Daphnia pulex: one gene and its partner. Each later gene encodes a partner of the first gene's protein in a complex. Links are inferred from orthologs where the notes say so. Each region holds a gene or a part of one and is shown on either strand. Other genes may lie near its edges.

The links.
Region 2: pre-mRNA-processing factor 19-like (region 1) and peptidyl-prolyl cis-trans isomerase E-like share a complex: the UniProt entries of both Homo sapiens proteins name them as parts of the XAB2 complex. The link is inferred for Daphnia pulex from reciprocal best matches to the Homo sapiens genes PRPF19 and PPIE.

What each region holds. Positions count from the first base shown.
Region 1 is NC_060022.1:3,393,689-3,398,228, reverse strand, and holds pre-mRNA-processing factor 19-like, read right to left. Parts: upstream 2,780-4,540; 5' UTR 2,667-2,779; coding exon 2,648-2,666; intron 2,553-2,647; coding exon 2,403-2,552; intron 2,341-2,402; coding exon 2,199-2,340; intron 2,139-2,198; coding exon 1,997-2,138; intron 1,933-1,996; coding exon 1,747-1,932; intron 1,691-1,746; coding exon 1,505-1,690; intron 1,426-1,504; coding exon 1,089-1,425; intron 1,022-1,088; coding exon 672-1,021; 3' UTR 534-671; downstream 1-533. Other genes in the region: heterogeneous nuclear ribonucleoprotein 27C-like, read left to right, coding at 3,087-3,145, 3,278-3,485, 3,689-3,890, 4,466-4,540. UniProt on the Homo sapiens protein: Ubiquitin-protein ligase which is a core component of several complexes mainly involved pre-mRNA splicing and DNA repair. Required for pre-mRNA splicing as component of the spliceosome.
Region 2 is NC_060020.1:8,629,423-8,633,231, reverse strand, and holds peptidyl-prolyl cis-trans isomerase E-like, read right to left. Parts: upstream 2,294-3,809; 5' UTR 1,995-2,293; coding exon 1,958-1,994; intron 1,894-1,957; coding exon 1,721-1,893; intron 1,644-1,720; coding exon 1,236-1,643; intron 1,177-1,235; coding exon 989-1,176; intron 925-988; coding exon 789-924; 3' UTR 703-788; downstream 1-702. Other genes in the region: uncharacterized protein LOC124191929, read left to right, coding at 1-211, 289-391, 487-620. UniProt on the Homo sapiens protein: Involved in pre-mRNA splicing as component of the spliceosome. Combines RNA-binding and PPIase activities.

The DNA of each region.
Region 1 (4,540 bases):
AGTTCTGATTAATGTGTAAGCTAATTAAAGTAGTTGTGTCAACTCTTTAGGGAGAAAAAAAAATGCGTCAAATTAAAGAAGACAAATTTTTTGAAGGGCAGAAAATTTTATTCATTCAACAAAACCACGCTTCCAATTACAAAAGATGCAACAATGCAACTTGATAGAAGCGACGGTTGAAGGAACTGTTTTTGGGCGACTTACCTCGTACTTTATCTGGAAAAATCTTGATTCAGGATAGCAATCCAATATGAAGAATTTGAACTATGAAATTTGAAATTAACGTAGTATGATCTCACTATTCCTTGTTTACAAGAGTCGACCGGCATTTTAGGCCAAATACATAAACCCCTGTACGAAGGAGCGGCCGATGCATCGATTGCCTAAGCCGCCATTGGGATATGCTTCAAGAAAGCGAAAATGCCAAGCGAACTGCCACGCCACTAGTGACAAAATTTCGAAGCTTTTTGTTTTATTTAATGTATCGATAGTAACGCGGGAAACTTAACTATCGATATACACTCGTAGAATTGTTTTTGATGGGAAAAATGAAACGCGTGTATTTTTGTGAGGGCGAGAGTTCGATGCGGTTTGCACACCTTACAGCAAAAAAAAGGATAAGACGAAAAATGTTCATTTAAAAATCCCCTCTCAACATTGAATACAGTGAATCACTCGATGCCATAAATTTTCAGCGTACGATCCATACTCACAGACGCTATCGACTGCGCATGGTTGCCGAAACGGACTCCCATAGCCAATGCTGTATGGTCGTTAAAAGTCTTAAGAGTTTCCCATTGCTTGCAGAGATAAACACGCACGTCGGTACCAGCCACAGCAAGGTAGGTGCCGCTTTGATCGAAGCACAAGTCCTTAACTTCGTATCCTTCGTCGAGCTGAATTGTTTTAAAATTCTTCAATTTCCGTAAATCCCACAATTTGACGCAAGAGTCTTCTGCCGCTGTAGCCAAATAGTAACCATTTTCTGAAAATGACAAAGCCGCAATAGGACCGGAATGACCTGTAATTGTAAAAATGGTAATAGTAAAGCTAATGTTTATCACAAGATTATTTTAAAAGAGCCAAACCTGGAAAGTTGGCCACGTTAGATTGTTCTTTTAAATCCCAAATTTTGATCTGTGAATCTTGTGTTCCAGTGCCGAAAATGAGACCATCTGGATGGAACTGGGCTGTCGTAAGCGGATTTCCGTCTGTGTCGGCAACCTTTGTCAACAACCGCCCAACGCGAATGTCTGAAAATGCCCAGTGTTGATCCAGTGACGTCGACAAAACATATTCTCCGGTTGCGTGGAGCGACAAGCCTGTGACAGGGCCATCATGAGCACGGATGATGGCAGATTGTGAGGAGCCGGTTATATTCCAAACACGAATCGTCGCATCAGGAGATGCTGTTATCGCGACTTCCTATAACAGATTCAAGGGGTATATTAGTATCATATAACAAAGTAAATCAAGAGAAAATTAAAAGAAAACATGAAATTACCTCTTCTGGATGATAAAGCACCTTGGTAACTTTTTTTGTATGTCCCTTGAGAACAGCAACAACCTGCTCAGTGTCCTTGTTAAAAACTGTAGCGCATCGATCGTTACCTCCAGTCAAAATATGAGAAGTATCGGCGGCGTGAACGTCCATGGTCAAAATTCCGGGCATACTTGCACTGTGCAAAGCCTATATGTAATCAATCCATGAAGATGGGATAACATTTCAAAATTATATGTCATTACCGGATGAGATGCCAAAGTTTTATATCCCTTCAAAGCTTCTGCTGTAGCTAAGCCTTCGGGCATGGTTTTGCCTCTACGTTTTCGTTCTTGAGTAAGAACAGTGGCTTTATCTTGTAATTGTGATATGATTTCCGGAGTTAATCCAGCTGCCTCGATCGGTTGTGCTGCCACACCACCCGCTTCAGCCTTACATCAAATCAGTAAATTTATCATAAATAACATACAAATAAATATCATAATGCTTTCTTACTGAGGCAGCAACAGATGGTGTAGATACAGCAGCATAGCCAGTCTGGGGCTTAAGAGTTGCAAGTGCTTCCCGTGCTGTAGACACTTCCTTGTGGAGGCGTGCAATAACACGACAAGCAGCATCATGTTGGTAGAGAGCATGACTACAAATAGAAAGAGAATGTTTGCACAATAATTCCATGTGTAATTAAGTTGGTCAATACCTCAATTCTTGTCGAGCAGTTTGTAATTGTTGCCTCAAAGTAAAGGAATTTAACATGACAGCATCCCATTCATCTTGTAAAGACTTAAGCACGGCGGGAATGCTTGTTGCAGATGGCACTTTAGGCTTAACAATTGGGGGGGCTAGAAACAAAATTTCAATTACATGTAAATTCATTGTGGAACTTTGATAAAAAATTTCTTACTTTTGATTTCAATAAGTTGATCTACAGTTATTTCTTTCCCATTGATGGGATCTACCCCGTTATCAGCAATGTACTTTTCAATCAGCCGACGTTCAAACACAGATCCTGACACCGGTGAGACCACAGGATGTTCGGGAACTTCGTTCGACACTATATAAGCAAGAGATATAAGACATTAAATATCAAATTTCTCAGAAGAATGGATTGGTTTTAAATTGATATTTATAATGAAAATGTAATATTACGAGAACAACAGAGGGCCATGATGAAGCGTGTAACCTTTTTTTATATACTTTTCACAAAAATGTGCGACAAGCCAAGATGCATATGTTCGCTTCGCTTAGGGCTAAACAGTTGCTAGACTACACTATTCAATAAAGCGCTTCATTCCTCAGTGCGAGTTTTCTTTTCTTTTCAAAATCCAATCATTTTTTTAAGACTCAGAAATTTTTTTATTGGAATGTGTAAAAGAAACAGCATAGTTTTTTATAAGTAATAATTTCATAATTTAAGTTTCAAGTTTTCAACTAGAAAAAGTGTCCAGGCAACGGTGCAAACTGACTGAAATGCCGGGCCAGCCATTTCCCCCATTTCTCAACTGAAGAAGCCAACCCAAGCGCAGTGCGAACACTCCTCGAAAATTTGAAAGATTCGTTTACTGTTATATTCAATTTAAACTGAACAATGGCCTCTCAACAAAAATTCCCTGGAAAAGAAGGTGGTGATAATTCGAATGAACAAGGGTAAGAAATTTTTTCCATTTATAATATGACATGTGAAGTTCATGGGAGAATGTAAATCCATGACGCCGTACACTAAGCTTTTCATGATTTGCGTCCATTTACTATTTTTTGGTACGAATCTTGTTTTTTTAGTAAAATGTTCATCGGAGGTTTAAGCTGGGAAACGACGCGCGATAATTTGCTTCGATATTTCAGTCAGTATGGTGAAGTTGTTGACTGTGTGGTAATGAAGAACCCAGAAACTGGTAGATCGAGAGGGTTTGGGTTCATTACATTTGCTGATCCTAACAATGTTGGTTTAGTACTACAAAACACACCCCATATACTCGATAATCGCACAGTAAGTTTTTATATTTTCTTCATACTCTTATTTGCACTACCTGAGCGGTGATAGAATGTTTAACATAATTTTATCTCCTTTCGCGGTATTGCTACATAGAAGTGGAAGGAATTGAAGTTTATATCTCAACTTGAGATATATATTTGATTTCTTTCTACATTTTTGGTTGTTTTTTATGATCTCATATTTTTATGTTTATGCAGATTGACCCCAAACCTTGTAATCCACGTGCCGAAATGGTACGCGCTCCTCGCCGGAGTATGGGTACAGGAAATGGTTACAAAGTATTTTTAGGTGGGCTTCCATCAAACTTGACAGAAACAGATCTTCGTAACTTCTTCTCGCAGTACGGAAAGGTCTCTGAAGTCGTTATCATGTACGACCAAGAAAAGAAAAAATCTCGAGGTGAGTCACTTTCCTCAATTAGTGGGTATTAAAGTTAATTAAAACAGCGTAAATAAACTATGAACGTCCTTACATAACGTATGACGCAAGTGTAAGTGGTTATATTCCGAAGATTCGATGGATTCCTTTTTTGATAACTTTGCTAACTTTAATAGTGTGGTTATTTTATTCCTATAGGTAAGCAAATGGCTAAGTTCCTATCCACGTTTACTTCTACTGCTCATGTGAAAGAGTTTCCGCGAATTACAGTAGATAATATGCCATTAAGGAACTTGGGAGGGTGGATTTACAAGTTTTACATCTGACTAAATATTGGCATACCCATTGGGTTGAGTCAATATTTCTTTCATAATCACAACTCTAGTTTTTAACGATGTATTAGATTTATTTCTCTTCAAGTATTAGAATCCGGTATCAATCTCATCAGATCTACAGTCAAAAGTTATGGTTGAAAAATAATTTAGTCAGGCCTGTCCCAAGATTTCTTCTAATGATTATTAATGAGATCAAAGAAAGATGTAAAGAAAAGTGGTATAAAAAAAGTGTAATAAGCAATTTGGAAAACCTTGGGACAGGCTTTGGCTTTTTGACCTTTGAATCGGAGGAGTCGGTGGATCGCTGCACTGGTGAACACTATGTTTCAATCAATG
Region 2 (3,809 bases), on another chromosome or scaffold:
TGCCTTATCAGATCCCAGCCCGGAACCGTTTAATCCGAATTATAATAGGTTTCGACAAAAGATTCCTCGAATCGGCCGACGAGGTGAAGGAATCATCGCTGAATACATGAATTCAGAATCTTTTCCTCACGAAGGAAGTCTCTCTAATTTTTTTCTGAAGGCATCAAAGGCGGTTCCTCGTTTGGGTAGGCGCAAGGATATTTCCACGGAGGTGTGTAGTCCACAGTAGACGTAAAAAATCAGATAATTATTTCTAAACTTAAAAAAAAATATATATATCTTTCGAAGTCTGGTCGGGCGGCAATGGTTGGGGAGGAACCTTTTGGCCGTATATCCAATGAAATTCCCATTATGAATCAGAAGCAAGATTTGTGGCCTAATATGAATATTAGTAAATATCTTTTTTCATTCAAATACCTTACAGTGTCTAAAAAATGTCAAACTTGGGAATTTCCTGTAAACATACCAATTATTTTACTTGTTTAGATGAACTAACAGGCGCATTAAATAAAGAATTGAATTATCCGGGACCGCGGATACCCAAAGACCTGCAAGACAATTACATCCAAGATTTGATTCATAGCTGGATCAATCAATATGAAAATCTCAACGAAAATTAAAGGACCCATGACGTTAATGTTTTTCTTTTGTTTTTTTGTTTTTTTCCGGGAGGGAAGAGGGTTGGAATATACTGTAGTCCAATCAATTTGTTTGTTTATATTTTTCATGAGCACAAGACATTGGTCATTAAACAATGTAGTTAAAAAAAAGCTTCTTTTATTCATGTGTTACAATAGTTCTCCACAGGCGGACATAATGACTTTGTCAGTCGGTTTACCAGACTTTGTTCCGTACTTCTCCACTTTACGTAAAACATCTAGGCCGGCAAGAAGTTGACCAAATACGACGTGCTTGTTATCCAACCTTTGAAAACATAAAGGTGCTATTAGCATTATAACTATGATATTTTAACAGGGAAAAAACCTACCATTCTGCTTTGTCAAGGGTTAGAAAAAATTGGGATCCATTTGAATTTGGGCCTGAATTCGCCATAGACAGAATACCAGGACCGTTGTGCTTCAACGTAAAATTTTCGTCTTCGAATTTCCCGTTTCCACCGAAAATTGATCGACCACCGGTTCCATCACCGTTAGTAAAATCACCACCTTGACACATCTTTTGCAAAAGAACGTTAATAAAAATAAATATTGATTAAAACTGAGCTTTCCGCTTACAAATCCTGGAATAATACGATGAAAACTGGAATTCATGAATCCATAACCTTTTTCATGAGTGCAGAGAGCAAGAAAATTTTCAGATGTTTTAGGGGCGACATCAGCTCTCAATAAAATAATTATTCTGCCCAAATTGATTTTTCCAGCTTTAAGATCCATGTACACTTGAGGGTTGCCGCGAGGCTTTTTAGAAACTGCTGACTTAGTTTCAGATTCAGAAACATTGTCTTTCCCTTCAGTTGATTCCTTATTGTTTTCCTCCACTGGATTTTTATTTTCTTCTGTCTTTCCAGCATATTTTTGCAACCAAGAATCCTCTGACCAAACTGGTCTAGAATATCCTTCCTTAATTTTCCGAGGTCTTGCAATGTTTACAGTAATTGTTTTGCCAAACAACTCAGAATCATTCTGAAAGAAAGGCATCCATGATGGCAAGTAATTAAATATTTGTTTACTAGATAAACTGTAAGAAATTGTGAGAATACCATGTTATCAATTGCGGCAGCAGCATCTTCAGCTAGTTCATACTCAATAAAAGAGAAACCTCTATGTTTTTCATGATTTTCATAATCTGGAGGTATTTCTATATTAACAATTTCTCCGAAAGGAATAAAGGCTGCACGCACTACTGATTCATCTGCCTCATCAGGAAGGCCACCTGTTAAAATGAATCACAGTAAGCATTACATTTCGTAAGACTGAAATATGTTATTTGATCTTACCGACATAGATGTTTCGCTTGGCATTGTTAGATGACATGTTGCGGCACAAATTTGAATGCACCACAAGAAAGATTATCAAGAATCGAGGTTACGTGTTCAAAAACTTTACGTAAAGTATTGAAATTCTCAATGTTCAAAGCATCCCCATAAGCTAATGAGTAATATATAAATATCACTGTCTAAACCTTCCTTATTATTATGCACAGTGAGGACAATAATAAAATACCGATTCACAGGTTGCAGACTAATCAAACTGAAAACTGGCGTGGGCAAACAGTCAAACACGTTCGTCAGAGTGCAGAGACTGCAGACAGCATGTTTCGCTTCGTTATACGATCAGTAGAGCTAGAACCAAAGTGGCTGTTCCGCTTTTTAGCGACTTTTTGGAGATTTTTCCAAATTCAAATAGCCCATCAGATTATTTTATTTGAATCAAAATAAATTCAAATAAACGCAAAATAAAAAGGCTACTCCAAAACTAGTAAACTTGTTGCTTCTTCGCTGCTACTTTAAGGTATCTGATGGGAGGATCGCGGAATTTTTTTAAAATTGAGACTAAAGCACTAAACCAAAAATTTAAGAAAAATTTAACGGACATCGACGTGAATCTGACTGTTGGTTTTGCCAGTGATATAGGAAAAATATACATCTCTCTGGTATATAATAACTACAACAAGGAATTGGATCTAATAAATCCATTGACATTAACCCGCGGATTTTATCTCAAAATATATAATATTTGGGCCGATTTTCTTTAACGACAAAAGAGATCGCATAAATTTTAGAGGTAGATCTTAATAACGCGCACTTCTTTTTCGTTGACGTCTGGTTGTCTCAAATGCAAGTTCCGCATTTATTTTCAAATCTTTCTCTTTGTGATGAATAGCGTTTCAGTTATTCAATTAAAACCGAACCTGTTTTTTCACACTTCCGTTAAGGGATAGTGTACCTGCGTACGAATAACGGTTTTCTTTTTAATTAATTTGGAAAGTTAAGGGCTTAAGGCTAGGCTATCATAGAAAATGATTTATGTCAAGTAAAAAAATTATTTAGACGTATCTACTGCTACGTCTCTACTCTCTAGGCTTGGGGGAAGGCAACGTCCTTTTTAATGCATTAGGGAGTGCTGGATAGCATTTAGTATAAAAAGAGCTGTCAAGCGACAAGCATTAGTTCGTTCACTTCGTGGGCATAGCGCCTCTAGTGGCGTGCATTTTGCCCTAGGATCCAAAAGATGTACTAGAAATCAAGCACTTCCTGGTGCGTAAAGGGCTACATCTCAAACCATACATATGAAAGCGGACTAGCCACTTCGGATTCAACCCACCCGTCCCTATTCCTGTCACTGTCAACTCATAGTCGTCTGATCACTCTGATGTAAACAAAATGTGTAAAGTGTAAACTCAGTAAGATTTGAAGTCAAGTGTAAGCAGCCGTAAATTTCATTTTAACCAATTGTTTCATCTCTATTCGAAAAGAAAACCGCCGTGAGTTTATTGAAAAACTGTGAGAATATGAATGTGGTATAAAGTTGTGGTGTTAAATTAAATATATTTCCATTATAAAAAAACATGGGACGAACATCTAGAATCCGAAACAGGTTGGTTCGAATTGTGCATTCTCGCCCACTTCGGATTGATTCACATTCAGAATTCGTTGAACTTTGTAAATGGATGAGTGCGAATGGTTGGAATGCTGTGTCAAAAAATTGTTTAGTTACAAAGCCAGCTCTGTTTAATAGCACTGGACGAGGTCTCATGGCTATGTCTAACATAGCTCCTAACCATCTGCTAGTCCAGATCCCCCAAAGTCTTCTTATCACTAAAGAAAAAGTTTTGGCAGAGATTCCTGA